Linked DNA regions of Canis lupus familiaris. The protein of the gene in region 5 interacts with the protein of the main gene of each other region in a pairwise test. Links are inferred from orthologs where the notes say so. Each region holds a gene or a part of one and is shown on either strand. Other genes may lie near its edges.

Region 1 (4,790 bases), on a different chromosome or scaffold from region 5:
ATATATTTCCACTGCTACTTGTAGTATGGTCTCAGAGAGAAGGCACTTATAAGTTAAATTTATGATTTAAAACAAGGTAATATGAAGACAATATAGATGAACAAAACAGATTAAAACCCCCTAATAGTCATAATACAGATAACCAATTCATCTTCAGAGGTATCTCTTTGTAACTTTCCCATATTTCTTACTAGCTCTAGATTTCTAGGATTCTGGAAGGTTGATCTCTTCACTTCTCTCCTAAATATAATTTAATAATTTATACTGTCATAGCTTTATGGGCCATATTTATTCTATGTAAAAGGCATCAATTCTTGCCTCAGATAGTGTGACCTCTATTTTTTTTGGAAATGTTAATTTTTCTGGCTTATTAATGTGCTTCCGTATTTGTTTTCTCAAATCAATTAGAAGACAGACATGCCTATACACACCTACTTGCACACCTAGACACTTGCAGCAAAACATCTCCTAATGTCTTCATTAAGCAATCTACTTTCAGTGACCCCAGAGAACACTACACAGGCCTTTATTCTGTTCATCTGGGATTGAACTCTGTGTATCTTTTAGCCTAAGCTCCTCAGGACAATGCCCATTTGTTGTTTGGCTGGCACAATTTTACCTATTTTGGAGGAGCATGTACATCTATGGTGCTGGTCAAAGAGTTATAATAAAGGGTTTTATTTGGTCTTATGCTCGGTTAGAAAATTGTTATCTAAAGTCAGCTGACAAGCATAATAGATCCAAACAGCATAAAAACCTTTCTTTTTTAATGGGTTTCTTAGCAAATATCTTAGTAGATATTATGAATATTGTGGCCATACAAACTATCCAGTATGTGAGACAAATTTTAAACTTAAAAAAGCGGAGGATCCCTGGGTGGCTCAGTGGTTTAGTGCCTGCCTTTGGCCCAGGGTGTGATCTTGGAGACCCGGGATCGAGTCCCATGTCAGGCTCCCTGCATGGAGCCTGTTTCTCCCTCTGCCTGTGTCTCTGCCTGTGTCTCTGCCTCTCTCTCTCTCTGTGCCTCTCATGAATAAATAAATAAAATATTAAAAAAAATAAACTTAAAAAAGCATGGATGGAATTTTCTATGTCTAGTACAGTATGTTGACTCATGGAAAGAAAAATTCACTTGACTTCCTAGAATTCATTTTATATAAATGACAATGGCCTAGAGCATTATTTTATTATATAAAAGAACTAGTTTGGTGTTAAGAGCATATATTTACTAAAAACTACACAGATCTTCCTCAATTTCCAATGGGGTTATGTCCTAATAAACCCATTGCAAGTTGAAAATATGGTGGGTCAAAAATGCATTTAGTACACCTAACCTACTGGGCATCATAGCACAGCTTAGCCTACCTTAAACATGCTCAGAATGTATACATTAGTTTGTGTTGGGCAAAAGCATCTAACACAAAGCCTATTTTATAACAAATCATCGAATATCTCATTTAATTTATTGAATACTGTACTGAAAGTGAAAAATGGAATGGTTGTATGCATACAGAATAGTTGGAAGCATATTGGTGTTTACTCTTGTGATCCCGTGGCTTGGCTGGATGCTGCAACTCACTGTCACTGCCCAGTATTACAAGAGAATATTGTACCATACATCACCAGGCCCGGAAAAGTTCAAAATTCAAAATTTGAAGTATGATTTCTACTAGCATATGGCTTTCCTACCATCGTAAAGTTGAAAAACTGTAAATGGAAGCACTATAAGTTGGGGACCATCTGTAAGTGTACTTAGCAGGCCTAGATTGAAAGCAGCAGTCAGTAAATACTTATCAATCAACAGCAAGACTATGAAGATAAGTAAAATGGCAACAAATATGTTTGTAGTACCTCTTGTACAGCTGCATATAATTTAATTACATGATAAACCGAAAAGATGCTTACCTGCTTTTCCTCAGAGCTCCCAGAATCAGCGTGCTTAATCTTTGAAATAGAAAAAATGAACAAAGAACAATGTGAATGTGTTCCTAGCACAGGGGAGCACACAATTCATTTATTTTGAGAAATTTCCTTTAAGATGCAGCTGTACTCACCGGAATGGCGTAGGCAATGCCTAAGAGGCAAAAGCAAATCACTGCAATCCTCATGGTGAGTTTTCCTGCAAAATATTTTATAAGGAATATTCGGTTTCTTTGTAGGGTAAAACAGTCATACTTCTTTATGCTACCACATCACAAAATCATTACTAATAAAATATATTTTCTGTAGAATACTTTCTGCCTTTTGGAGAAAACTCTTGTTTCAAACACTATGTTCTTTTGAGTTAATATTTGTAATGCCACCTCTTTATCTCTCACTATTAGGCAAGGGAGAGCGGAATCTCCCAAGTCTATATTCAACTTTAAAATTTAGAATTCCAGGAATTATATCATTACTCCCTGATAGCTCCAGCTATCTCAACCTAAAAACAGATCATTAGTAATTTAACTAAAATAATAAGCTAGTGTTGGAATCTTTATTTCTCAGAGAAGAAAAACACAAAGGGGAAGAAAGAAAATAGAACTATAGAAAGAAACTTGCTTTCTCCATCTTTCCAGCGTGCATTTTAAGTGTGATTTATAACTGAAATTATTAAGAAGGTACCACTTAGATAAAATGAGGCTGTCTCAAAACTCAGTTATTTAAGAAAGGCATTCTAGAAATTTGAAACAGAAACCAAAACATAGAAAATAGTCAACAGCTTTTCTATTCATGATAATAAGTCTAAATAGTGTCATACAGTTATTTTGGTGAAAAATCTAACAGCTAAATACAGAAGTAAATTATTCAGAAGGTTTTTCTTTTCTCTTGAAAATAGGTTGGATACATTAAATCATTAAAACATAGCATTATTATTAGCTTACATTACCACTAAAGATTTTTATCCCTTTAAATGCTTCCACAGCCATCTACCCATTTAAATTAATGTATATAGTTATTTGAAAGGGGCATAGAATTTTTCATTTTTTTTCCTTCTGATTGGAAGAAATAATTTCAGTTCTTTTGAGGACTCAAAGTATTTTTGAGTCCTATAAATGACTGGCTTTTAAAATAACCAGTTACCTTTCCTCCAGGAAATCTGTAACGTATCCCCATGCTCATTTAAAAGCCTAGAACAATTCAAGTCTGCTTAACAGCTTTACAGTTCAATTCCTTTCCTCACGACTTGCCCTTGCCCCTGAAATGAAGCTGAATACACGGGGTAGTGAACTGCGGGCTTACCTTGCTCTGTGGCTGGCTGAGAAGAGAGCCCAGTCTTGGACGATGCTGCACTTCTCTCCTTCTCTTGCTGCTGACAACCAGGACCTCCCAGAATTTAAATGCTGCTCCAGACATTCTCCACCAACACAGGGAGGCGGAGAAATGTGTCATGAGGTTTTTTTGCCACTGCCCAACCCACTTGCTCCCACACTTCCCCTTCTGGTTTTTGTGGTTAAAAAACAAAGAAGCAAACACACAAACTATAGTTAAAACATTACTTGTGTACGATATCATTAACTAGCTTTTTCATTTATGGGGTTGGCATTTAGCATGGTGGAAGGGCATCTAGGGGTCCTACAAAAAAGTGGGGAGGAATGACTAGTTCTTTGAAACAGTCTATAATTTCTGAGCTAGAAGAAAAAAATATTAATATTAAATTAGTCTTAAATAAAATGGAATAGACTTTTGTTTCTTTCAGGTTAAATAGCAGATTAAGGTCATATATGCAACCAAATTTGCCTCACAGATATACTTGTTTAACAGGTGCGAGGCTATCTCTCCTTCAGGTGTATGAAGAGTTCAGAGAGGCCCCCTCCATCCTTCACTACTCAAGCTTGGTATTGTGATTTCAAGTATATAGCAGCTTGTCATTTAGACAAATGACATTACTAACACTAAATTCCATGTTCATGCCCATGTTCAAGTTGGATTTACGATGACCCTTCAAGGACATGAATTTTTGTTGTGCTGTTTGAATTGTTTGGAGGTGGTGAATCAGATAATTTGCTATACAAAATAGAAGAATGGTAATTTACTGTATATACTGCAGAAGTAAAGTAGTTTCTGACTGGGAGCAGTGTTACTGCTTGAGAAGGCTGCTTCTGGGGCCAGAGTGTGGCTTTGAGTCCTACACTGCCACCATTAGCTGTTTGACCTTGGGCAAGTCACTTAGCCTACCTATATTTGTTTCCTCATCTGTCAAATACACACGCTATTATCTAGCTCATGAGGATTGTGAGAAGTTTGAATGAATTAGTATGTGCAAAACTAACAACACTTGGCACATATTATATGCATATTTGAAGCACTGTGTGTGTTAACTATTCCTGAAAGTTTTGGAGAAGCAAGTAGTCATCATTTGTAATATCTTTAAGTGGAATAGGTTATTAGAATGAGGTTAGATGTATGATCTTTAAACTGTGTACATCAATAAGGTAGTTTTCATATCACTATAGGAATAGATTGCTCTATGAATCATTTTTTTTCCAGTTTTTCTCCCACGATATATAAAGGTTTTACTTAATAAATAAAATAAAATTAAAAACATTTTTCCATATTAAAAAAAACTTTACTGGGTATTTAAAAGGTATTTAAATAAAAAAATTACAGGTGACTTTGAATATCAGAACAGAAATTAGAGGTAGCATAGCTCTGATTCCATTTTAAATATTTAATATTGTTTTGAGATTACTTAATTTTCATCTACTTTTCTCAGTTGTGAGAAATGAGGGTTGCAACTATTCATTTACCTCACACTTCCATTGTAAGAATTGTGTGCGAAGTGAGATTAAAGATAAATGGTCCTATTT
Region 2 (4,230 bases), on a different chromosome or scaffold from region 5:
TGGCCCAGGGCGTGATCTTGGAGTCCCGGGATCGGGTCCCGCATCGGGCTCCCTGCATGAAGCCAGCTTCTCCCTCTGCCTGTGTCTCTGCCTCTCTCTCTGTGTCTCTCATGAATAAATAAATAAAATATTAAAAAAAAAAACAAATTCACCAATAAAGAGTGAATCTTTGAAACCTAAGCCCTTGCCCTCAAACCCAATAAAAGGAGAATCCCAAACCTACATGCTCTGTCTACTTGCAGCCCTCAGTCGTGAGGCCCCAGGGGTGCTGTGTCATTTCTAAGTCCTATAAGTAAAACAGCTTTATTTTTTCAAAGTTTCCTGGTAGTTGTGGCTGGAGGGCATCTTGTGATCGTAAGAACTCAGGGGCAGGTCCCATAACACTGGTTATTGATAAGCTGAAACTGGCACAAAACAGTGACATGGTCCCAGTTTTGTAAAATAAATAAATAGTTGCATGCACAAAGTCCAGAAGATTAATAATGTGTCCACACTGAATTATTATTATCTGAGATACTCTGAGGCTTTCACTTCATACATTTCTGGACCATTTGAATTTTTAAAACAAGCAGATAATACTTTTATAATCACAATAACAATGATCCTATTTTCAAGGTTAGTTCCTAAAGCTAACTGACATACTTTAAGTTAGATAATCACCCCTAGCATGCTACACTACCAAACTTATCTGAAAAGAAAAGCTGACATCCAGTTCTTCTCATGTAGATGTCCCAAAATATAAGGCAGGAGATGGAGGGAATGTGAGGACTAAAAACCCTGACTTCCTCAATTCTCTCAAAGGATGAAGGACCCAACCACCCGGCAGAGGCCACCTGCTGGCCTCCATCCCAGAGGCTGGAGGAGGACTGTCCTTTAACCAGGGACAAAAGGAAGAAAAGCAGCTAAGAACTAAGGATCCAAGAGCCCAGCATGCAGTAGGAGGAGAAGAAAACAGATGAGAAAGTGGGAGCCAGTAACAGGCAAATTTCCCTCATCCAAAGGGACCACGTCTACAGATGGAAAGAGCTCACCAAGTCTCAATAAAATTAGTGAAAATAAGACACATTCCAGACATATCTGGAGGAAACTGTAAACTTTTTTTTGTAGTGCAAAATACAGGCTAGACGACTATGTGATCATATATAGGTTACCACAGAAAATCCTGCTACCCGAGCATCCCCAACTCAGCCAAAGCACCAAGCAGCCCACCGACCACAGCAAGACACAGCAGGTGTACAAGTGCCCCCCAGCAACAACCCCCCCCCTCCACGTTGTCAAAGAATATGCCAGAAGAGCCAAAGTGCAGACTTCTGGGCCAGGCAGGAAATAACACAGGATCTATCTGGCAGTATCGTATACAAAGTTCCACGTAGCAGTTAGGGATTGGGCTAGGAATTCCCTAGGAATTCTTAGATCAAGTGTTAACTCTCTCTCCTGAGTGGCATTTGTAATTCACCATAATAGTCAGAAAAGGCAACACCTAAATTTGAAAGCATAATACAATTTCCAAATTAATATAAGGGAAAACCTAGCAAAAATAATAAAAAAATAGAAACACAAAGTAAAATAAAGAGAAAACGTAACAGGTCTTAGAGAGTACATGAGGTAGACTCTAAACATGAACAGGCTGATTTGCAGTATTAAAAAAGCAATTACTGGGATCCCTGGGTGGCTCAGCACTTTAGCACCTGCCTTTGGCCTGGGGTGTGATCCCGGGATCCTGGGATCAAGTCCTGCCATCAGGCTCCCTGCATGGAGCCTGCTTCTCCCTCTGCCTGTGTCTCTGCCTCTCTCTCTCTCTCCCCTCTCTGTGCCTCTCGTGAATAAATAAATAAAATCTTAAAAAAAAATAAAAAACCAATTACTGTCACATGAGGTTAGGAAACAAATCAAGCTATGTATTATATTTATAAGACACCTAACCATGTGATAAACTGAAAATATACAGCCAGGCAAAGACAGCACATGATATGAACAGAGAGTAAGCAGTAGCTGAAATGGTAACCAAGGTTGATTAAGTAAAAGGCAAAGATATCATTTTATAAACAAGGACAAATTATAAAACTGTGTCAAACTGCACAGCAGCAAAATATACAGAATTAGAAAACAAGCCTTGAAAAAAGGCTAGATCCGTCAAATTTCATGAATGACTTCGAAGAACATCTTCAAATTGACAAAGTAAACCAAACACACCGTTTTTCTTCTGATTACAAAGTAACAGGTTTAGGGGCCTCTGGGTGGCTCAGTCAGTGAAGCATCTGCTGCCTTCAGCTCAGGTCATGGTCCTTGAGTCCTGGGACTGAGTTCTGCATCAGACTCCCTACTCAGTGCAGAGCTGGCTTGTCCCTCTTCCCCTGTTGCTCCCCCCGCTTGTCCGCAAGTGCTCACTCTCTCTCTCAAATAAAATCTTAAAAAAAAAAAAAAAAAAAAAAAAAAATTCCACAAAGTAATACATATTTAAAGTATGTAGCCTGGTCAGTAAAGCCTAAAACAAGAAAGAGTCCCATCCCAGCCCCCACCGCAGGTGCAATCTCTACACTAACAGCTCACTTGGGACCCTTACTGTTTTCTCCTATTCAGTCACCAAGTTCATCACTGACAAATACCGGTGTCAGAACATCCGACTACACGGAGAAATGATTACTGGGGTCTAACTAGACAAACAGCCAGCTGGTAAGCAGGCAGACAGTGAGACGACAGAGACGGCCTACACACCCACATTTTCCAAGTCACTTACTCTTGGCAGCCTCCGACTACGCCTATTCTTCCATCTTGGCCTTTGTGCTTCTTGGTAGTTAGAGGAGGTATAATGTTTCTCACCAGCTGCAAAGTATTTTCCATATCCTCTACTGAACGTGCTTTATGCAGTGAAAATGCTCTTTGTAAAACTGAAAAACAGGAAAATGAAATCATTTAGAAAAATATTAGCACACACGAAAAAGACTGAAAGAGAGCCTATTAACCAAAACACTTCCCAAAGTTGACTTAACGTGAACGCTATAGATTTTTATCCAATGGTTTCACTATTTTATTTCTCTAACCAAATGATGCTTAGAAATTACCACACACAAGCTATACATACCAAGCTTGTTTTTGAAATGTATTAGACATTCCAGAAGACTAATTAATCTTTCAGAAGATGTTTCTAATGCATTACTACTTAAAAAACCACACATATTCATTCCAGTTCAATCTTCCATCAAGTTTATCGGGTCTCTTCAGGTTGCTAAAAAGCAACCTCCCATTTGTTACCTTCCTTGATCATCTTCATACCCCCAACCTTCTAGTCACGTTTCTGACACTCAATTAATTACTAATTAAATAACCTAGAAATGGTATTCTAAATAGAGAACATAGCTTACACTGGGTTCAAAGTGGCATTTTATTTTTTTTTTTAAGATCTTTTTAAAATTTATTTATTAATTCATGAAAGACAGAGACAGAGAGAGTGAGAGAAAGAGAGGCAGAGACACAGGCAGAGAGAGAAGCAGGCCCCATGCTGGGAGCCCGATGTGGGACTCGATCTCGGGTCTCCAGGATCATGCCCTGGGCCAAAGGCAGGCACTAAACTGCTGAGGCACCCCAGGATCCCCAAAGTGGCATTTTAAAACAATAAAATGATTTTGTCTCTAAACAGCTAGATTTTAATTGTCTTTCTTGAAACTTCCTCATCATGTATTTTGCTGCCTTGATATTTAAACCCAGCTCATCTGTGAGAGAAACGCCATGTTCCGTAACATGTATATTCAACGTTTGAATAGACAATAAAGCACCTGTTTTCTCTAGAATTAAAGGGTCTTTGCAGATACATACAATACTCTCACACAAGGCACCAACATTTGTTTCCTTCCAGTCATCTCAGCAGCAGAGAAAAACCAGGCAGGTGTCACAGTTGGAATGAAGACCAAAGCTGCCCCAGCTCCATAAGGTAAACAGCTTTATCTTTAATTACACTCTTACAGTTTCACTATTTATTTCACTTTTTATTCACTTTTTATTTATACAAATTTATCCAAGTAGTTTTCTTTAATGAGTAGGTATAAATGCTTCCTTAGTTGACATGCCAGGTGCTGAGACCCCCACCCCCATGTGAGAATATTAACTACTCTCAACCTCAACACTCTGCACCTTCTCCCAAACCAACACAAGACTAAAACTCAAAACAGAATCACTGCAAACCTTTGGCCAAGAAAAGGCACAACTGGGTTTGCTCAGCGATGGCGACAGCGG
Region 3 (4,590 bases), on a different chromosome or scaffold from region 5:
CCCCTTTGCAGGTGTGCACGGGCACAGGTGTGTGCAGGTCGCGTGCAAGCCGGTGCGTGTTTGCTGTAGCTGTGTGAGCGCACGTGTACATGTGCATCTGCTGTAACCACGCTCCTGCGCTCTGAGAGTGCATGTTGTGTGCGCTCTGGGGCACGTCCGGGCACCCCCCAGCACCCCCGTCATCCAGGAGCACCCACTCTGCCTCCACCCCCCAGGGACTGCCCCCCGGGGTTCCGGGTCATACAGAGCCTCCTCTGGGCGCCGAGCCCGGCCGGCCTGGCACTGGAGAGCGGGCACCTGCGCTGGCGGGGAGCGGGGCCAGAACAGAGCCCCTTTGTGCAGCTCTGGCTCTTCCTCCACAGCGGCCTCCGTGGGCCCCAGGGCCTGTGGGAGGGGGCGAGGAGCCCTGGGAGGCCGGGCTTGGGGGGGCCTGGGCCCCAGGGCCCCTAGGGAGACAGCGCGGGCCCTGAGGGAAGGGTCGAGTCCACTGCTGCGGGCTGCCTCCCCTGCAGGGTGGGGGCCGGGGAGCCCCCAGGCAAGGGCCAGAGGATACACGTGGTTGGGTGTCTGGGTCACCGACTGCACAGCCCTGGGGGGTGAAGGCCACCCCAGAGGGTATGCACGCGAGAGGGCCGGTCTGTGTGCCCGCAGCACTACCCACGGGCAACAGCATTGAAATTCCATAGAACTTTCACGTCGCTAAGTGCTGCGCTTCTCTTGCGTCGTTTCTAACCATTGACAAAATGTAAGGAGTGTTCTTAGCTCACGGGCTGTGCTGCAACAGGCGGGGTAGGGGGGCTCGATTTGGCCTGGGGGGGGGGCGGGAGAGGAGAGTGTGTCCCCGGGCCTGGGCGCCTCATGTAGGGGTGGAGGCTCCAGCGGGACAGGGCCTCCCCCCATGCCCAGGCCCCAGACACTGCCGTCCCAGTGCAACCAGTATGGAGAGCCAGCCACTGGCACTTATGTGACTGGTCACCACTGGCACTTATGCGACTGGTCACCAAAGGACAAGTGTGTCGTTTCTGATCTTTTGCAATTCTGAAGGACACGGCCAAGACCTGCACGCCAGCGGCTCTCGTGAGGGTCTGGTGTTCGGGCCCTTGCACGGAGAAGGATCACCGGATTCTCCTAACGTCCGCGACGAGGCTCTGCGGCCGCCTGTGTACAACTGATGACCCAGTCGCAGCACTCGGGGGACAGGAGCCCCCCGGAAGGCACACACCTCGTAGGCAGGGAAGCCAAGATTTGGCCCCAGTCTGGCTTCAGCAGTAGCACCGGCAGGGACCGGAGACCCGCAGCCTTCGAAAAGTACTCTGTCACCTCCCCAGTGAGTCTGACCCCGAGGCCTGACCCCAGGAGCCCTCAGCACTGGCCTAGGGAATCGTCCTGTCCCCGATCCTCTGTGCCCGTGCCAGGCACCTCGGCTATGCGGTCACCCCAAAGCCCGTGGAGGCCAGCCCATCCCAGCAACGCCTGGCCCACGCACAGAGCAAAGATCATCACCGTCTTCTAAATGACACACCATGGAGGGCCAGCGCCTGGGGGGTCTCTTCCAGCTGGCCCCAGGCACACACGGCGCTCCCCGAGGGTCGGCGGGGACCTCAGCCTCAGCGGCTGGAAGCCCACGGGACACTGAGCTCTGCACAGGCCCGAATGAGGTCCTGGGCCAGGTTCTGAACAAGGCAGGAGCTTCTAGGGGGCACGTGGCCTGGAGCCCCCCATGGGGTGGAGACCTTCTGGCCAAGCTGGGGAGGGCCCCCAGCAACCCCGTCACATCTGGGTGCAGCTCTGGTCCAGGTGCGGAGTGGAGAGGCCCGGAGGCGGCAGGACAATGGTTGTCACCGTCCCGTTTTGTTTGTGTAGGCCATGGGGCCAAGACAATAAGCACAGCGTGTCCGGGAGCCTCCCCCAGGATGGCTTGGGACTCCCCCAGGAAGAGCTCCCACTGCCCGTTCCTTCCTGTTCCCCCCGCGGCCCTCACTCCTTCCTTCTGGATGGGGGCCCACAGGGCCGTGATGGGTATAAAGAGCCGGCGGAGAGCACCAGGCACAAGACTCTGCGCCACCAGGACTGGGCGACAAGACTCTCCTGGCCAGGTAGGGCAGCGCCCCTTCCCCCACAGGCCCGGTGAGGTGGGACGGGGTCCCTGTCGGACTCGGTGGCCTGCCTCTTCCCTCCAGGAGCCTTGGGACTCCCCATCCAGAGGCCATGCTGCTGTGGCTGACCCTCGCCCTCCTGGGGAGCACCGGCTGCTGGGCAGGGCGTAAGTCTGCTGGGTATGCCCCACCCCCCCCAGCCCGTCCCCCTGCGCGGCCACCCTCCGCCCACCGGGCCCTGGGCAGAGCCCTCGCGCAGACCGACTCCAATCTCGGGAGCCCGCGGGCTGCCTGGTGGGGGGGCCGAGCCCAGTTCCGGTCAGGGACGCACCGTACCTCCGCCTGAGCGTCCCTTCCTCCCACCCGATCCCCTCATCACCTAGAGATGTACGGGATTGGGCAAGGCAAATACTTCAGCACCTCTAGTGACTGCGAAATCACCGGGATCCGGGTGGCCACGAGTACCTTTGGCCTGATGAAGAGGTGAGAGGAGCAGGACCTTGGGAGCCGGGGGAGGGGCTTTACCCCCTTTCCCTGTACCTTCGCTGGGCTCCGGAGGACCCTGGGAGTTCTGGAGCCACGGCCTGTCCCTTCGTTCCTGTCCTCAGGCTCCTCCCGCCCTGCACACCGGCCCCTCTGGTTCTGTCTGCAAGTCCTGAGCGGCTTCCTGGGCTGATGTGAAAGGAGGGGTAGATGATGCTTCTCCCTCCTTTCTCATTTGAACCCCAAACAGCCTGTCAGTCTGAGATGCCTGCCTGATGGGGAACCCAGGGGACGGTCTGTCCAGGGGAGGGTCAGAGGAAAGTGATGGTCAGAAAAGACCACTGGCAGGACGCAAGTCGCCAGAAGTGTGCAGAGGCCAAGAGCCAGGCTCTGGGCCTGGCGGGGGATCTGTGCTCTGCACTCACAGGGTCCTGCGGGGAGCGGCCAGCACCACCGGGGACAGAGCGCCGGCAGGGCCAGGTGGACGGAAGCCCTGATGAGCACAGCTAGGCCAGTGTGGGAGTCACCTGCCTCTAGGGCCTGTGACCGGGTCTAGTCCATAACTGGGGCTCAGAAGCTCCAACGTTGGGCCTGGGGACAGTTCCCCACCGTGAGCAGCGACAGCAGCTGGAGCCTGAGGGTTGTGGCGACTTGCCAAGCTCCCCTTATGAATGATGTCATTGATGCCCCCCCCCCACGCACTCCCACTCTTCAGGTAAGGAAACAGGCCCAGAGAGGCTGGGTGACGAGCCCAAGATCACAGGGCTCGAAAGCATCAGAGCAGGAGTCTGAGAGCAGCACCCCTGTGCCAGGACCCCAAATCCACGTGCTTGGGGAGGTCCACCTGTATGACAGGGTTGTTGTCCGTGCAAGGGGACAGAGCACCTGGGGAGCGGGGAGGCAGTATGGCAACTCTTCCCCCGTCTCCCAGTATCCAGGTGAGATGCGGGTCGTCCTGGAGCACAGTGTATGGCACCTCCGGGGGGAACACCCAGGAATTCATCCTGCAGCCGGGAGAGTACATCACTATGATCTCTGGCTCCTACAAGTTGTACATGCACTCCCTGGTCATATACACACATGTGGGTCGCTACGGCTTATTTGGCAAGGAAAGTGACTTCAACTTCATGGCCTACCCCGATGAGGAGGGGCAGGTGCTCACGGGCATCTGTGGCCAGCACAAGCTCTTAGGCATCTCGGGCCTCTGCTTTAACTGGGGCTATCCTCCAACCAACATCACAGAGGTGTATGCCTCCCTGTGAGCCAAGGGGGCCGAGAGGAGCCGAGTCTGGACCTCAGGCTGGAATCTACCGATTAATAAAGCTTCTGCACGAACGGTGCCTCCGGGTGTGGTCCTTGGGTCCGGGGTGTGACCGAAGCCTTCCCAGCCGGTGGGGGATGAGGCCCGGGGAGGAGGTGAAGGAGTAGGGAGGAGGGGGTCCGGCGCCCCAGGCCTCGGGGATTCCGCCAACGACAAGGGCCCGCAACGACAAGTGCAGGCTTCAGGCCTCAAAGATCTTCAGTCTTGAGGAGTCTGGGCTCTGAGGATGCTCCCGACCCCGTCCCTACCCCAAGCCGTCCAGCTGGCCTCTGATGGCCCAGGCTCAGTCCCCATCTTCTCTGGGGCCTTAGGGCAGCCAGCCGTTCACTTATTTGCCCACTCAGCACACACTTGCCGGGGCCTGGGCTCCCCTGGCCACTCAGGGTTAGAAGAGGCCAGGTGTCTAGCCAAAGGGTGCCCTGTAGAAGTGGGTGGTGGCATCTGCATTGATGGGGACACACGCAGGGCATTGTGAGTAGGCACCAGCGTACAGGCAGGGTGATGGGGGAGTGCTCCAGGGAAGCCTTCCTGGAGGAGGCAACGGAGGAGGGTGGAGGGGGAGTGGGAGCTGGCCCCGTAGAGACAGGAGGAGGAGGGCATCCCGGGCCGAGGGACCCGCAGGGGCAGAGGCTGGGACCAGAGGTGGCTGGGGACAGGGCTCTTCGATGTGTGATTTGTGACAGCAGCCTA
Region 4 (4,172 bases), on a different chromosome or scaffold from region 5:
GGGGGGCCCGGGAGGGACTGCGGCGGGGCCTGGGGGCGAGTCGGGCTGCGGCCACCCACGTCCTGGCACACGACTCCGAGAAACGCAAGAAAGTAAACTGCGGTGTACGCGCCCGCCGCGCCTGCCTGGTCCGTGCGGGGGCGGGGCCGGGGCCGGGGGGCGGGGCCAGAGGGGGCGGGGCCGGGAAATGGTCGGAGGAGGGGGCGGGGCCCAGGGGCCTGGAGGGAGGGCGGGGGCGGGGCCTCCGCATTCCTGGCGGTCTCTCCCGGGCACATCTGGCCGACATGTGGCTCCCATTACCGTTCCCAGGGCCCGCGCGCCGCTATTTTTACCCACCGGATGGCGGGGGCGGGCGGGGGGCGTCTCCCTCCGACGTCTGCCGGGGCCGGGAGCCCGGAGCCCGGAGCCGGGAGCCCGGAATCCAGCTGTGCGCCCGAGGAGGTGGGCGGGCCTGCCCTGCCGCCCCGACCCCTCCCGGGGGCGCCCGCCTAGCCCGGGCTGTCGTGCCTTAGCGTCGAGGTCAGGGCCCCGGGCCTGGGGCGCGCGCGCGTGACCCCGGAGCTCCGCGGGGAGCGGGCGGGGTGCGCCGGGCCTCGCGGGTGAGGAATGCGTGTGGGGAAGGCCTGCGAGTGACAGCTTGCTCTGCTTTCAGTGTGAGCGGGAGGAGGCCTGTGTGCGGAGGGGCTGGTGGGTCGGGACGCCGGGGGGTCAGCCTGGTACACGAGTCAGGGGGCATCTCCATCCGGGGCCCCTGCGTGGCAGGAGCCTGGGGCGCACGGGGGGCAGAAGCAACAGAGGGACACTGAGTCATTGGAAATGCAGTTTTCATTGGTCCCTTCATCTCTTAACCGATCCCAGGAGGGGGGCTGGGGTCCCCGCGTCCGGGCCTTCCCCGCCGGTTTTCTGGCAGGACTGGGGAGCCCGGAAGGTGGGGGTCCAGACCCCGGAGCCCTGGGGTAGGGGGGAGGCGGTGGGGCGGGGCCGTCCCAGTGGCCTGGGGCCGCTGTGAGTTGGCGCGCAGGGTGCAGTACGCAGAGCTCCTCGCAGCGGGAGCGGGCGGGTCAGTAATAGTGCATGCGCCCCAGGGTGCCAGTGGCCGTGGGGCCGGGCCCCAGGGTGCCGGAGCCCAGCAGGTCGGGCTGCCCGGTGCGCCAAATCTCCCGCAGGATCCGTTCGCGCTCCTCCAGGCGCTGCGCCCGCTCCAGCTCCTCCGCCGACGTGAAGACGTTGACGCTCAGGGGCCCGTCGGGCTCGGCGCTGAGCTCCGGGCCGGGCAGCGTGTCGTCGGGGCCCAGCCGCGTCACCGTGTCCTCGTCGTCGTCGTCGTCGTCGTCGTCGGGCTCCAGGGCGCTGCTGCGGGGGTCCCGGCGCGGAGCGGGGCCGCGGGGCCGCGCGCGGGGCGCACAGGAGATGCTGATGACCAGCAGGCACAGGGTGAGCAGCAGCCCGAAGCAGACTCCCAGCACGAAGTAGAGGCCGAAGCTCTCGGGGTTAGCTGCGGGCGGAGGGCGCGCGTCGGGGGGCGCCCCGGCGCCTGGGGGGTAGTCCCTTCGCCCAGGAGCCCGGGTTCTAAGGTGGGGGGGGCGGGGGGAGGGCGGGACTCCTTACCTGCAAGACCCAGGTAGCCGCTAGCGGGGGGGGCGGGAGGGGGAGAGGGGAGGAGGGGCTGGGGGCGGGGGGAGGGCGGGACTCCTTACCTGCAAGACCCAGGTAGCCGCCAGCGGGGGGGGGGGGGGGGGGGGATGGGGGCGAGGGGGAGGGTGGGACTCCTTACCTGCAAGACCCCAGGTAGCCGCCAGCGGGGGGGGGGGGATGGGGGCGGGGAGGGCGGGGGAGGAGGGGAGGGAGGGGCCCGGGCCCCGGGCCCGCCCTCACCGCGGATGTGCGCGTAGGCCGCCAGGCTGTTGCTGAGCAACTCCATGTCCCTCCGTGGGGCGTCCATGCCGCTCTGGGGGCGGAGGGGCAGCCCCCCGTCAGCCTGCGGGGTCGCAAGGTCGGACCCCCCCCAGCCCACGGCTGACCGCGACCCCGCTGCCTCCGGAGCAGCTGACCCCGCTGCGCGCGCTCCACCCTGCAGACGGCGGCTCCCTAACGTCGTTACGGCCCCGGGCCCGGCCTGGGGGGCCTCTTCCCCGGCGCAGACGCCCCTCCAAGCCGCGGGAGGCTCCGCCGCGCGCCCGGGAAGCCGCCGCGCCCCCCGCCCCGCCGGGACCCACCGCCCGCAGGCCCCGCGCTCGCTCACCGTCGGCGCCCCGCTTCCCCGCTGCCGGCCCCGGCGCGTCCGGCGGCCGCATACACCCGGGCCCCGCCGCGCGCGCCCCGTCCGGTCCCCGCCGCCCCCTGCCCCGCTCGGCTCCCAGGCCGCGGCAGCGCGGGCCGGACGCGGGCCCAGGACCAGCCGCGGAAAGTTCCTCGGAGGAAAGGGGCGGGGCGGGGCGGGGCGGGGCGGCGGGCGGGAGGGGGAGGCGCGGAGGGAGGGGGCCGGGGAGGAAGGGGAGCGGCGGGGGGGCTCGGCTCTCCCACAGGAAACCGCGGGGAGGCGGGCGCAGCGACCCGCCCCCAAGCTCCTAATAACAAAATAATGATAATAATAATAATGCGGATGAAGTTCCGCTTCGGTGCCGGGCAGCGTGAGTGCGGGTGCGCGTGCGGGTGAGGGTGCGGGTGTGGGTGAGGGTGCGGGTGAGGGTGCGCGTGCGGGTGAGGGTGCGGGTGCGGGTGCGGGTGTGCGTGCGGGTGAGGGTGCGGGTGAGGGTGCGGGTGAGGGTGCGGGTGTGGGTGAGGGTGCGCGTGAGGGTGCGGGTGCCGGTGAGGGTGCGCGTGCGAGTGAGGGTGCGGGTGCGCATGCGGGGGAGGGTGCGGGTGCCGGTGAGGGTGCGCGTGTGGGTGCGGGTGCGAGTGCGTGCCCTTTGAATATTCTTTCCTTTAACTCTAACACCCCTGCGACGCGGGCACTGTTGTTGCCACTTGGCAGAGAAGTAAACTGAGTCAGGGAGAGGAGGAGGGGCCCAAGGTGGGCGACACGCTTGACCAAAGGGTCAAGATTTGAACCCACTGCCCTCTGCCCCTAGAGCCCGTCTACACCTTGCTTTCCTCCCAGGGGCGCCTCCCTTGGACCCTCAATTCACAAGGGAGGGAACTCCCCTCCCGGGGCATCCAGCTGGCAGAGCTCTGTCACACGGGGTGACTGAATGTTAGAGCCCTGCAGGCCTCCCCCCCCAGCTGCCCCCAGCTTCTGCGGCCCCTGTGCACCCCACACCGCCCTGCACCCGCACCCCAGCCACGGCAGACGTGCACTTTGCTCCAGGCTAAACGTGCCCAGCCCTTGCATCCACCTCCCCCCAGGCTCAGGGCTCACGTGTGCAGTGTGTCACAGGGTCCACGCGTCTTCCTGCCCGACTCTCAGCCCCCACCCCTCCCGGGCCCCCCTTCCTGCGGGGGCCCTGGGTGAGGGGGAGGCCCTCTTGGCGGGAGCCTCAGAGAGGAGGAGGGAAGGAAGGGGGAGAGGAAATTGCAGGCATAGCTGAAGGCGCGGCCTGAGGCCTGTGGGCCCGTGACCCCCCCTGTGTCCACGCCGGAGACCCCCACTCCCAGGGCTGAGCCTGGGTTCAAGCAGAGGGCAGATCTGGAAGGAGAAAGGCAGACTGGCCCGGGGACAAGCAGGGACTCCCAGTGTCTTGGGGATTGTTGGGTCTGTTTTGTGCATGCGTGTGCAGGCGTCCCTGCCCCTCCGGGTACTCGTGTGTCCACTTCCATGTCGCATGGGCCGCAGCAGGGGTGTGGCGGGTGCACCAGGACAAGCCGCTGCGCATCGGGTGCTACCCCAGGGCCTGGCCTGGGCCCCCGGGCATGGGCGCCCCTGGTCCGAGCGGGCCGAGCGACAACCCTGCAGGGGGAAGGGCCGGGTGCTAAGCGGGGTGTACGCAGCGGGCTTGATCCGTGTGTCCCGGGCTGTCGGCTCGTGTATGCAGCACACTTGTGTCTGCCGGACTGTGTCCCGGGACCCATGTGCCCCGGCTGTGGGCCTCCCCCCGCAGCACGCCCGTGTGCCCTGGGACCCGCGAGCCCTCCGTCCTTCTGAGGGCGGGCAGGAGTTTGGATGTTTGGCTTCTGGTACCGCCGCCTGCTGACACGGGTGTCCGTCTACGTTGCTGTGTCACGCGTGCTTGGAG
Region 5 (3,211 bases):
GAAGGTGTTTTTCCTGCTGCTCCGTGTTTTTGGCTTTTAAAACTTAAACTATTTTTTTTTTTTTAGTTTATTTTTTTAGTAATCTGTACACCCCACACGGAACTTGAACTCATGACTCATGAGATCAGGAGTCACAGCCTCTGCGGACTGAGCCAGGCAGGCGCCCTGCCCTTTAAATTTTTAGTAGAAAATCACAGTCAAAGGAGAAACGGGAGGACAACGATGCCCATGTCTCCTGGGCGGGAAAGCCACTGTGCCAGGAGGCACGTCTCCTGGGACCCCCAGGGGGCCCAAGCCAGCACAGGCACCGGGACACCCGGGACCCCCAGTCTGTTTCCCTGCAATCCTGCAGTAACAGAGGCTTACAGCAAACCCCCGCCCAGGGGAACCCGGGTGGGCCTGCTGGCCTCCCTCCCAGGGACCCTGCTGGCCATCGCTGTGGCCGTCGGGGGCTTTCTGCACAAACACTGCCTGTTGGCGCTCAGGCCGCGGCCCTGCCGGGAAGCAGTGACATATCAGCCGTCAGCTACGCAAAACCCAGCGCAGTGACGAGCCCACCCACACACAACCGGGAAGGAACAGGGTGCCACAGAAACAGCCGGGGAGGGCCGTGATGATCCCGGGCGCCCCCCACCACAGAGACCCGCCCGGCCTTGAGGTCGCAGGGCCGTCAAATCGGCGCTCAGGACGCACAGGGCACTCACGAGGGCGGTCATTCCTGCTGGTCGTCGTTGCTGGCACTGGGGGTCCGACTTCGGATCTGACTCCGGAGCTGTTCTATCAACTCTGGGTTCTGCTGCTGCATCTGCTGGGCGAACTGCTGGCCGCTGCGGGAGAGGCGTGCCCGGCTCAACCGGAAGGCCCAGGCGCCCTCCTGGCCACTCCCCCGGCACCCGCCCCCCACCGGAGGCCACGGGGTCCAGCGGAGAGCATGGGCACACGGCACCCGCGTTCTCACGGTCCTGGGCAGGCCCTCGCTGCCACCCCCGAGGGCCAGTAAGGGGTCTACTCACGCCTGGATGAGACTGGCCAGGTCGTTCTGTGAGGGGCTGGTGCCGGGAGTCCCCAGGGGGTTGTGGCCGCCCGAAATCATCCCGGACATGCTGCAAGGAGAGCCCGCGATGTGGCGGACAGCCCAGCCCTCCCGTTCCCGCCGTCCCTGCCCTTTCACGGCAGCCCGCCTGGGGCCCAGAGCCACGGCCGCCCGCCCCCGCCCCGACGGTGGCTGCTGTGATGCCACCAGCTCACTCAGAATAGCCTTGGTTTCTGGCCTAAAGACAGAGGTCTTCAGCCAGGGGACACTGGTCACATCTGGGGTGCTGGCCTGCCCCCACAGCGCCCCAGACGCCCCCCCAGAGTGATCTGCCCCAATGTCGGCAGTGAGTGGATGAGAAGCTGTGTTTTAGGACTTGACCGGAGTCGGGCAGGTGTTCACTAAGTTAAACACAATCACCACAACCCAGAGATTCCGCTGCTGGACATGGACCCAGAACCGAGCTCACGATGCTCGGGAGGGACCAGACACAGGACGCCCCACTGTGTGTGAGTCCACGTGTGTGACACATCTAGGACGGGGAGGGGTTTCATGGGGGCCGGGGGCTGAGAGGGGTGATGGCTGATGGGGACAAGGACTCTTTTGGGGTGATGGAATGTTCTGGAATTAGATGGCGGTGATGACTGCACAACACTGTGAATGTACTTAACACCACCGCACTGTAAACCCTGAAATGGTTAAAACGGGCAGGCTTTACGGCAGGTGCGTCTTGTCACGATAAGAAATCTAACCCCAGACCCGAAGGAGCATGGTTGTCACTTACAGCTGCTGAACCTGCGGATTGTTCATTAGGTTTGACGCCTAAAGAAAAGAACACAAATCACACAGGGAAGTGCCCGCACCGTCTCCTGACCACACACGCCCCTCCTGCTCGGCGCCCGGGCCCTGGGCCTTCCTGACGCCCTTCCTCGACCTCTGATCTGCCACGTTTTACCACTTTATCCTGCTTGGGTCTTTTAAGAGACCCCCGAGCACCTCAGCATCTACTGGCTGCTTAGGCTCTGCCGTGTAGACGTATTCTGATCCGTTTTCCCAGCCACTGAACACATCTGCATGGTGAGCCTCGTTTTGCTCCCTCGGTAAACACCGCTGCGACAGACGCTTGTGCTTGAACGTCACGCACCCCCCCGCCCCATGACGTTTCAGGAAGCGGCCAAGCGGGATGAAGAGGGGCCTGCCTGGCGTGGCTCACGGGGGCCGGCTAACTTTTAGGCACCAGCATCGAGGTTCTCTGCTTGCTGGGCCAGCCTCTGCCCCGCCCGCCCAACTGGCGTCACCACGGACGCACACCTGGGTGCCAACGCAACTACAAACCCCGCTGGTCTGCCAACCCCAGACGCGGGTGAGGTGTGAGCCCTGCCGGACCGCACTGGCCCCTTGCCATGCCCGGCCAGCCATCCTGCCTGCGGACCAAGTGCGGCCTCTACCGACTTAGGAGACAAGACGCTCCCTGCTGCCCTGAGGGTATTTCTGCGGCCAGAAGGCTGGGGATTTCTCTCGTCCTGATGCTTGGAGACCCTGGACCGAGGCCCCGTGAGCCAGCAGTGTGGCCTGCGGTGAGCAAGACCCCCATCAACGGCCATGGGTGTGCAGCGACCAGCCCGAGGCTCACAGCTGGGCGCCCCGCACAGAACAAGTGCTTCTGGCCTTAAGTCTCTGGCGTCAGAAGGTGGTGGCGTCCACCCGAACCCTGGGAAGCAGGTGGGGTGTGCTGCCGTCAGGGTCTCCACAGCATGAGGAGGAGACCGAGCTGGAGAGACGGATGCGGTTTCCCGGGTTATTGGGTGGGGAGAGGCAGGATCCAGCTGTCCTTCGTGCTCAGTGCTGCCCCCGGGGCATGGCAGTGTCTGGGGACCTAGGTGGTGGTCACACGGGGGGAGCTCCTGGCGTCGAGAGGGTGGGGTTGGGGATGCTGCTCAGCCCCTCAGATGCCCCGGTCACAACCCTAAGGAACGGCCGGGCCCAGTGTCCAACCCCGCCCAGGCCGGCAGCCCCGGCCCTCACAGGCAGACACAGCCCCGGGTGGTGGGCCCAGAGCCCGCGGGAGATGGGAGCGCAGGTTACCATGCTCATGAAGCTGGGGTTGTTGAGCAGGCCGGCGATGTCAAAGCTGCCGACGCCTCCCGTCTGTGGGGATGAGAAGAGCCCTGGTGAGTG
Region 6 (4,084 bases), on a different chromosome or scaffold from region 5:
AGTCTGGCAGGTTGAGGATGGATAGATGGGGGAAGAAAAAAAAAGCAAACACAGCAAAATATTAACCATGGTAGAATTGACATGGTGGGTATATGGGTACTTGTACAATTCTTTCAATTTTTCTATCAATGTGGATTTTTTTTTCATATAAAGTAAAAAGGAGAGGGAAAAAATTGGAATATAGTAGGCACTCCTAAGTATGGAACATTGGGAGTGTAATCCCTCTCCAAGAGAATCTATATTTCAAATGCCCTGAAAGGACAATGTTTTTCTTGAAAGATGACATATTACAGGTGAGAGCACCTGCAGAACACCCAAATAGGGGAGGGAATCTTAGACCACACCCAGAAGTGATTAGTAACTTAGCCCACCCAAAGCTGATGGTCCTTTCGGTTGGTGACCTTTTCTCAAGTTTATCCTGCCTGTCCGTCCTGAGATATGGCCTTGGCCCCGAGTACCCCACCCTGTGATCTGTCACCCTTGGGGGGAGAGGCCGGATAAGATATTCCGGACCCTGCTTGACAACTGATCCTCAGAGGTTGATCATATTTGCTCAGGAGGTGAGGTTCACACGATAAAGAGCAGGAGGAGGGCTCGGACCTGGTATAAAAGATCTGAAAGTTTCAGGGGGGTTACTTTGCACCTGAAACTGCCAGGTGAGGGGTGACAGAGGCCTGAGCTAAGAGGTGACAGGGATGGCCGGGTTCAAATTAAGGGGAATTCAGGCTGAGCCAGACAGGCACCTACTTGGATTGGGTGGCAAGAGAAACCTGCGGGTCAGCTAACTGGGGCTTCTGTATCTGAGTGAGGTGCAAAGATATCTGGGTCTCAGTGGAAGGACTGGGGATGTCTGGGATGCTCGGGGGAATCAATGTGGCCAGATTTGTGTTAGTGGAGAAAGAATGATGACAAATAGAGCAGGCATCTGGAATCTAATATCTGGAGCTGGTCCAAACACCTTCTGCAATCTCTATCCACCTCTGCCTGAACTGCTCTGATGCTGGTGGTGGCAGTCTCCTCTATCACCACCTCTACTCCCCAGGTGTCACAGAGATGCACCTCTAAAATGCTCCTTTCCTTCTGATCTGAGATCAGCAGGAAGCTAGAAGTTTGAACTCTGCCCAGATGTCCCCCCACGCCAGGCCCATCCCTTACAGGCAGATTTCAGTTAGGTTTTGCTCAGACTCCTGGTTTGGTAAACTCAGCCATCTCTATGATTTGGAGATGGTCTCTACTTCTTTGAAAATGCTTTTCCTGCTTTGTGGCAGGAGGGATCAGGACTTAACACAGCTTGGTCCAGATAGAGGGTTAGGATTGATCTTCTGATCTGGGATGGAAGAAGGGAGTTGGCTCCCTCTGGACCAGGGACGACAGAGGGGTTAAGGACAGAAGACAGTCGGCCAAGAGCAGGACTAGAGATTAGGGACAATCCTTTCTAAGCCCAAGACTGGGTCAGTGAAGTCTGAGTTGAAGACAAAGAAGGCTGACACTCAGCTGGAGGTCAGTGAAACCTGAGTAAATGAAAGCCAAAGAAAAAAAGCTAAACCTTGACTTTCTCCTTATTTCCACTCCAGCCCCAGAATGTTGACCATTGCTCTTCTGGCCCTACTCTGTGCATCAGCCTCGGCCAATGCCAGTAAGTGAGAAGCCAGGAACCCAGCATAGTGTCATGGGAAGGCAGCCTCCTGCATTGCTGGTGGCCAAGGCTTTCAGAGGCTGGCTCGGAGTGGTGGGCACTGAGCTGTGGGAGGTGGTGGTGGGGAAACTGAGCTTTTGAGATTTCTCCCTTCAACTCCTACTGTCCCCTCCAGTTCAGGCTAGGTCCTCCTCATACAATGGAGAGTATGGAGGTGGTGGAGGGGAGCGATTCTCCCATTCTGGCAACCAGCTGGAAGGCCCTATCACCGCCCTCCGTGTCCGGGTCAACAGATACTACATTGTAGGGTAAGATTCTTTGTGTTTCTGTGGTTTGGGGATCTGCTCTGATCTTGCTAAACTGGAAAGTTCTCAGTCACTTTGGGTCATGGCTGTTCCAGTCAACAAATCCCAGGGATAACATGATACGTGAAAGTTGTTAGAGGACAGGGATCTGAGGTCAGCTCTGCTAATAACCCTACAGCCCCCCAGCACACATGACCTCAGGCAAATCATAGGCCATAGCTGCTCAGGCACTTGGAAGCTGGCTAGTCGGGCCCCACCTGAGGTGTAAGCCCCCTCTGGCATCTTCCATCTTTGCTGACTCTCTCCAGACAATGTATAGCCTTCTAATCCTGGACTACACCCTGGAACAACAAAGTATCTTCCCTAACGAGAACTTTCCAGAAAGATCCCCCTGCTCCCTTTGTATTGGGGGTGGGGTGGGGTGGGCAGCACAGTGGGAATCTAGATTCCAAAATCAAGCTCCAACGCTGTCTGCTTGACTCTGGCTAGGCAATTTTTCCTTTCTGAGCCTCTGCATTTGTGGGCAAAGCGAGTTGAAGTTCCCTGTATGATCTCAAGGGCTCACTCACCCCTCACACACTGTGGAGTTGGCAGCAGACCTGTTGCCCCATCACCAGTCTGCAAGTCTCAGCAGGGAGGCGGGGAGGTCCTGAATTATGATCAGCCCAATGTCAGTCTTCCTTCCTTCCTCACCCTGCCCCTAGCCTCCAGGTGCGCTATGGCAAGGTATGGAGCGACTACGTGGGTGGCACCCAGGGAGATCTGGAAGAGATCTTCCTGCACCCCGGGGAGTCAGTGATCCAGGTGTCTGGCAAGTACAAGTACTACCTGAGGAAGCTGGTCTTCGTGACGGACAAGGGCCGCTACCTGCCTTTTGGGAAAGACACAGGCACGAGCTTCAACGCCGTCCCCTTGTACCCCAACACTGTGCTCCGATTCATCAGCGGCCGTGCTAGCTCCCTCATCAATGCCATTGGCCTGCACTGGGACGTCTACCCCAGTGACTGCAGCAGTTGCTGAGATCCAGCCTTCTCCAGGCCCTGCATTGCGGCGACGGGTATGGGAACCTCTTCACCACTAACTCCATCTGCAAGGCTCAATAAAGACAAAATAAAAGAACCTAGCTAAGGCTCGTGTGTGTGGGTGTGTGCAGCTGGAATCTGCCTCCTGACTCTGGCTGTGAACGAGCGAGCGAATCTCCTATCTGGCTGTCGGATGTCATTCTAGGGAAGAGTGGGAGGGAGAGGAGAGAGGTCTAAGAGTCCTGGGCTTTTCTTCCTAATTTATCAAGAGGAGATAAGATTAGGGCTTGTACCAACTCTTTTTTTCAAGGATAGCTCCTGAGACTTTACCCAAACTGGAGTCCTAAGGCTAAGGGCTGGCCTGGCTGGGGCTTGTCGCCAAAACCCCAGATGTTCCACTCCCTAGATCGCCTCTACCCTTGATAGTCCCTCTTCCTCAAAAGGCCCTCTTGACCTTAACTCACCTGCTATCTGTGACTGGCCTGGGCTATTTTCCTTTGTTCTTTCCCAGAATCCACCTGACTTCTGAAACTTGGCCTGTGTCAAGGACCTTGCCTGTTACTCCAGCCTTGTTCCTCCCCAACTTTGCCCAGAAGCACTAATGTCCTTGCTTAGTTTAGCTCACTCAGAACTGGGCTTCCTTCCCTAGGAAGCCACCACCTCCTCAACAGCTTCTACTCTGCCAATACCATCCTCAAAAACAGGCATTACAAGAGGGTAGATTTCCATCGTGGGTTTCTATGAACGTTCAGGGGAGGCAACAGAGTGGTTTCACAGATATAGCAAGGCTATAAAGTTGCTTTAGAAAGAATTCTTAGGACTCTAGCTCCCACTTCTAAGACTGTGACAGTTTTTTTTTTTTTTTTCTTTGTCTTTTGGTGGTGGTGGCTAGGGGTGGGGGAAATCACTCCCTGCTACCAGTAGATGGATTCACATTGTGGGCAGTGCCAGAGTCACATTTCTTCCCCATCAGACAAAGACAACAATTATGTACACGTAATTTTAGAAAGAAGTATTAACATTATAGAAGCAACTCATGCCTAGCCTTTTTTTTTTTTTTTTTTAATTATTTATTTGATAGTCACAGAGAGAGAGGCAGAGGGAGAAGCAGGTTCCATGCA
Region 7 (4,728 bases), on a different chromosome or scaffold from region 5:
CAGTCTGAAAAAGTGGCTCTCTGCTCATCAATCAGGGACTTTCCTGAAAATTGCTTGCTACTGATTAATGACAGTGAACACAGATTGCCTCCATGAGAAGAGGAAAGCAAGGAACCAACAAGACAGGTGCATTTTTGAGAATAGTTTGTAAGAGAGATCTAATGGCCCAGGCTGGGAGACATCTGAGTGATCCTTTTGGCTCTATCATAGATTTATTCTGTGGTCTTCAGAGAGCCCACTCTAGGGTTTAGGATGCCTCCACACATGCTGTTAGAAAATGGAGTCTGGGGCAGCCCAGGTGCCTCAGCGGTTTAGTGCCGCTTTCAACCCAGGGCCTGATCCTGGAGACCCAGAATCAAGTCCCACATCAGGCTCCCTGCATGGAGCCTGATCTCCCCCTGCCTGTGTCTCTGCCTCTCTCTCTCTCTCTCTCTCTCTCTCTCTCTCTCTCTCTGTCTCTCATGAATAAATAACATCTTTAAAAAAGAAAAAAGAAAAAAAGAAAATGGAGGCGGGATGGGAAAAGAAGAGGAGGGATTCTCACGTTTCAGGAGGACAGATAAGGAAGACAAACCTATGAAGCCATCTGTGGACGATCCAGGCTCTCTCTCCTCCACCTGTTTTCCCACTTTTGCCCCTCTTTCCTTTTTTTTTTTTTAATTTTTATTTATTTATGATAGTCATACAGAGAGAGAGGGGGGGGGTGGCAGAGACACAGGCAGAGGGAGAAGCAGGCTCCATGCACCGGGAGCCCGACGTGGGACTCGATCCCGGGTCTCCAGGATCGCGCCCTGGGCCAAAGGCAGGCGCCAAACCGCTACGCCACCCAGGGTTCCCCCCTCTTTCTTCATTTCGGTATCTGTTAACCCCTGCCTCTCTCCCTCACACCCAAGACAATGAACTAGAAAAATCAGAGATGCTGAAACTCAGAACCCTCTATTTTGCTTTCATCAAAAGCTTGGTGGGAAAAGGAAGTGGAACTGATGGCTAAAGTGAGTGCTTTAAAGTAGTCATAAATTGCAGTGACTGTGCTGCTTGCTCCTTTTGTCCTCCAAGGTCATGGATAATTGAGTGTTGGCTTGGTGTACCTCCAAAGAGCTAAAGCCTTTGAAATGAAGTACTCTATGAAATGTGAGAAAATCAGAAATGGCAGCTCTCTATGTAGTACCCCTGTATACATCTAAAGATCTGTAAGACATATCTAGGCTGTGCCTAGGTCTCTCAGCCTTTGACTAGACCTGCTATTGACACTCCCTCTACTATAGCCTTTCCTGTCAAGTGGGCCAGAGTGACACAGTGAAATGACAATGGAGTTTGGCATAAGCTGGACTTTGGTTTAAGTCTTTGTGCTACCCTTGCTGTTTGTTTGACTTGATTCATTATTTTGTCTCACTGAACCTGTTTCCTCATCTGGCAAATATATATAATAATGCCTACACTGGAGGATATTGTAAGGATTAAATAAAATGGAGTAGGTAAAATGCTGAAATAATTTTTCTCTTTTCCATTAATATTCCCTCTAAAGGAAACTACTATATCATGCTCCACACCTTCTAACTTTCCAAGGAATCTGGGACTGCAATTAGAGAAAAGAATATGTTGGATAGAAGGCATAAGACAAAAGAGAAAGAACAGGAAGAAAATCATGGAGTGCTCATGTGACCACAAAAGGGACATTAGTTTTGGAAATGTAGGACTCAAAGGTAGAGATGCAGAAGGTGAAGTGGAAAAAAGAGATACCACTAAGATTTAGCCTTGGGGAATCAGTAAGAACCAGTAGCTAATGGGTGTGATCTGTTTTTTGGATACTTCCCCTGATCTGATATCTTCTTCCTGATTTTGAGGTGGGAGAGCTCATGGGGTTCTGCTCATTTCCACCAACCTCTTACTGGGGAAGGAGAAAAGCCATTTCCTAGTTGGATTGTGGCCCCGCCCTAAAAATTGTTGTCTGGATGCTCAAACCTTCTGGATTGCCTGAAGGATGTGCTCTTTTAGGGGATTTGAAGGAACCTGGGGCTCTCATCCAAGCTGAGGTGAAAAGGAGGGAGAAACAGGGTAACTCCTTTATTTTTGAACCAGGAAAACATAGCCCAGGAAGTTTGCAACCCTAGCACATTTTGGAGGAAGCCCCAAAGAGGAAAAAACTTGCTTTTTCAGCTTTTCTCTCGCGTCTTCCTCCATATTTTCCACCGGGCTCTCTGCTCCTGGGAGCACAGCCGGGATCACAGCCCAGAGGCCCGGGTCGGGGACCAGCCGCTCCGCGGTGACGTAATGCCTTGCAGGGTACACAAAGCGGCCTCCCTCCGGCCCGGCCTCTCCGCCCCTCCCCCCGGCCTGGTCCGCGCCCTCGCCAGCACCGGCGCGGTGAGTCCCCCTTTCGGAAAGGCCAGGCCAGGGAAACAGGGAACAAAGGCCCGGGAAGAGGGGCCTGGGCGCTGCCAGGAGGCCCAGAATAGACATCACGTCATCCCTAGCTCGGCAGCGCCAAGCGCCATTTGGTAGCATCGGACGGACCCACCATTACGGTGCAGAACCGCACTTGGGGGCCCTGGGCGGCCGCCAGCCCCGCGCCCCGCGCCCCGCGCCCCGCCCGCCCGCTGGGCAGCAGCTCCTGGCGCCCCCGCAGCCTCGGCTCCCCGCAGCGGGCCGCTGGCCCCCGGCCCCCCAGCCCCCCAGATGCCATCTTGGCGCCCATCCCCCGCCGCTGCCCTCCCCCGCAGCCCGAGGAATGGGAGGGGGAGCAGGGGGCACCGCCCTGAGCGCCCCGAGGGGGAGAGGTCCTCATCCTCCTCCCTTCCTCCCCTGCAGAGCGCCGACTCGGGCCACACAGGTTTCCGCGCGACCCGCGACCCCCGGCGACCCCCGGGGACCCCCGGATTGGCTGGCCCCTGCACCCGCAGCTCAAGTTCTGGCGCCGCTCGCCGTCGCAGGCCCAATCCTAGCGGGTCCGACCCTGAAGGCCCTGGGGTGGGCTTCGCTCCCTCCCGGCACTGGGCGCCCCTGGCTGTGCGGCGGTGCCCACGGCCCCAGGCTTTAGTTGTCCGCACTCTACTTACCAAAGCTAGGTCGGATATTGGTGATCTCAGCCATGTCGTAATCAGAGGCTATTGCTATGTATGCTTTTTCAGGGATCAGACGAGTCTGGGGGCGCCCGGTCAGCACCGAGGCCGCCGCTGTAGAGGGCCAGCTCAGGGGAGGGGGAAGGTGTCTGGCGGACACCTCCTGCGACGGTCGGGCCCCTGACTGCCAGCTGCGGCCGCCTCCTAAGATGCTCCGGGGATGCTCTGAGCGGAAGGATGCAGGTGCAGCCAGACTGGTCCTGATGCGGGTAGGCCCCGCCCTCTTCCGAGCGGCCCTCGGCAGGAGACTCCGCCTCCGCCCGAAGAGTTCCGGGAGCCAGGCCCCGCCCCGGAAGCTCCCGGCGAGGGGACCGCCGAGATTTCTGGAGAGGGAGACCCAGCCCACCGGCGGACCGCGGATGGGTGGGGTGGTCTGAGAGCTGTAGGTGTCTTTCCCTATGCAGTTCTATAGATCCTGTGGTTCCGGTTCCCGGGGCTTAATACAGCAGCAGAATGTTCAGGGTGACGGAACCTAGTATTTTGGAAAAAGAAAATTGTATACTGTCTGCATTTCAGTATCATTTGCCATTATTGTGCATTTCTGAAACTACTAAATGTTATTATGGAAACTTTCTTAAACTTCAGAAGCTCTGATTAAAGACTAAACCAGGTGATGGTTGCACAACTCTGGAAACTTACTGGGGATACTTGTAGAACAATTCTGCAATCCATCTACGGATGGATTTTGTGGTGTAAATGAAAGCTGTTTTTTAAAAAAGACTAATGAGGTGTGTCAGAGTTAACCCGTGTTGGGTATTCCTCTTACAAAAACTTCCAAGGGCTTATAGGGGGTCAGAGAAGGAGACACAAGGGCAGAGCCAGCAAGGAAACCGACAGAACTGTATATCCTGCAGGTTGAAGAGCAGGATACAGAGGAAACTCCAAGCTTCTAGAGACTTCCTTGGCATTGGGAGAGGCAGGGTGATTCAGGTTGTAGACTCCTGGCAGTCGTCTGCACGATTACCGCAATTTCCCTCTTCTCTTTGGCTGTGGACGCTTTCATCCTGTTTACAGACAGGATCAGGTCAAATTATTTAAACGCATGAGTAGCTGTTGGTGGTGTACCTGCAAACGGAGATGGTTGGGTGTATTGTTTCAGCTTCGACATTCTGTCCTTCCAGAAAAGTGGAGAGAACGTGGGTCTAGGAATCATGCATTCATTCAAACCCCGTGTGTTGGATTAATAAACAGCACTCCATCCCGGGCGCCTTTCCAAGCGCTGGACCTGGCATGTCAGGAGCTGGAGTTAGGGCACCTGCGGTCCCTCAACAGGTGTGTGTATGCAATCACCTGCCCAGCCAAGCCGGAGTTAGGACACCTGAGGTCCCTCGACAACTGTGTGCGTGGAACCACCTACCCAGCCGAGCCAGAGTTAGGACACCTGAGGTCCTTGGACAGCTGTGTGTGTTTAAGAACCTGACCAGCTGAGCCGTGTTAGGGCACCTGAGGTCCCTCCACAGCTGCATGTGTGCAATCACCTACCCCGCCGAGCCAGGAGTGTGTTCCGTACGCGGGGGAGGGTGTAATAGCCACTATCCCCCGGGGCTACTGCGAGGATCAGGTCACCTAAGATAACTTACTTGAAAGCATTTTATGGAATTAAGAGCAT

The links.
Region 1: the proteins of SGTA (region 5) and SPP1 interact in binary tests that used the Homo sapiens proteins (3 or more experiments, as listed by UniProt). The link is inferred for Canis lupus familiaris from reciprocal best matches to the Homo sapiens genes SGTA and SPP1.
Region 2: the proteins of SGTA (region 5) and NAXD interact in binary tests that used the Homo sapiens proteins (3 or more experiments, as listed by UniProt). The two-hybrid records come from large-scale screens. The link is inferred for Canis lupus familiaris from reciprocal best matches to the Homo sapiens genes SGTA and NAXD.
Region 3: the proteins of SGTA (region 5) and ZG16B interact in binary tests that used the Homo sapiens proteins (3 or more experiments, as listed by UniProt). The two-hybrid records come from large-scale screens. The link is inferred for Canis lupus familiaris from reciprocal best matches to the Homo sapiens genes SGTA and ZG16B.
Region 4: the proteins of SGTA (region 5) and EVA1B interact in binary tests that used the Homo sapiens proteins (3 or more experiments, as listed by UniProt). The two-hybrid records come from large-scale screens. The link is inferred for Canis lupus familiaris from reciprocal best matches to the Homo sapiens genes SGTA and EVA1B.
Region 6: the proteins of SGTA (region 5) and ZG16 interact in binary tests that used the Homo sapiens proteins (3 or more experiments, as listed by UniProt). The two-hybrid records come from large-scale screens. The link is inferred for Canis lupus familiaris from reciprocal best matches to the Homo sapiens genes SGTA and ZG16.
Region 7: the proteins of SGTA (region 5) and SYT11 interact in binary tests that used the Homo sapiens proteins (3 or more experiments, as listed by UniProt). The two-hybrid records come from large-scale screens. The link is inferred for Canis lupus familiaris from reciprocal best matches to the Homo sapiens genes SGTA and SYT11.

Annotation. Positions count from the first base shown.
Region 1 is NC_049253.1:28,635,237-28,640,026, forward strand, and holds the start of SPP1 (osteopontin), read right to left. Parts: upstream 3,364-4,790; 5' UTR 3,223-3,363; intron 2,120-3,222; 5' UTR 2,109-2,119; coding exon 2,055-2,108; intron 1,945-2,054; coding exon 1,906-1,944; intron 1-1,905. UniProt on the Homo sapiens protein: Major non-collagenous bone protein that binds tightly to hydroxyapatite. Appears to form an integral part of the mineralized matrix. Probably important to cell-matrix interaction.
Region 2 is NC_049243.1:59,036,274-59,040,503, reverse strand, and holds part of NAXD (ATP-dependent (S)-NAD(P)H-hydrate dehydratase), read right to left. Parts: intron 3,929-4,230; exon of another isoform or gene 3,854-3,928; intron 2,889-3,853; coding exon 2,738-2,888; intron 1-2,737. UniProt on the Homo sapiens protein: Catalyzes the dehydration of the S-form of NAD(P)HX at the expense of ATP, which is converted to ADP.
Region 3 is NC_049227.1:38,795,127-38,799,716, forward strand, and holds ZG16B (zymogen granule protein 16 homolog B), read left to right. Parts: upstream 1-2,017; 5' UTR 2,018-2,096; intron 2,097-2,180; 5' UTR 2,181-2,208; coding exon 2,209-2,263; intron 2,264-2,479; coding exon 2,480-2,579; intron 2,580-3,510; coding exon 3,511-3,841; 3' UTR 3,842-3,919; downstream 3,920-4,590.
Region 4 is NC_049236.1:6,009,035-6,013,206, reverse strand, and holds EVA1B (protein eva-1 homolog B), read right to left. Parts: upstream 2,305-4,172; 5' UTR 2,243-2,304; intron 1,949-2,242; 5' UTR 1,943-1,948; coding exon 1,876-1,942; intron 1,496-1,875; coding exon 1,062-1,495; 3' UTR 808-1,061; downstream 1-807.
Region 5 is NC_049241.1:56,918,449-56,921,659, reverse strand, and holds the end of SGTA (small glutamine-rich tetratricopeptide repeat-containing protein alpha), read right to left. Parts: intron 3,182-3,211; coding exon 3,119-3,181; intron 1,856-3,118; coding exon 1,818-1,855; intron 1,104-1,817; coding exon 1,014-1,103; intron 828-1,013; coding exon 713-827; downstream 1-712. UniProt on the Homo sapiens protein: Co-chaperone that binds misfolded and hydrophobic patches-containing client proteins in the cytosol. Mediates their targeting to the endoplasmic reticulum but also regulates their sorting to the proteasome when targeting fails.
Region 6 is NC_049227.1:18,003,418-18,007,501, forward strand, and holds ZG16 (zymogen granule membrane protein 16), read left to right. Parts: upstream 1-1,483; 5' UTR 1,484-1,581; coding exon 1,582-1,636; intron 1,637-1,811; coding exon 1,812-1,944; intron 1,945-2,645; coding exon 2,646-2,961; 3' UTR 2,962-3,070; downstream 3,071-4,084. UniProt on the Homo sapiens protein: May play a role in protein trafficking. May act as a linker molecule between the submembranous matrix on the luminal side of zymogen granule membrane (ZGM) and aggregated secretory proteins during granule formation in the TGN.
Region 7 is NC_049228.1:41,910,689-41,915,416, forward strand, and holds the start of SYT11 (synaptotagmin-11), read right to left. Parts: upstream 3,365-4,728; 5' UTR 3,091-3,364; coding exon 3,057-3,090; intron 2,365-3,056; exon of another isoform or gene 2,261-2,364; intron 1-2,260. UniProt on the Homo sapiens protein: Synaptotagmin family member involved in vesicular and membrane trafficking which does not bind Ca(2+). Inhibits clathrin-mediated and bulk endocytosis, functions to ensure precision in vesicle retrieval.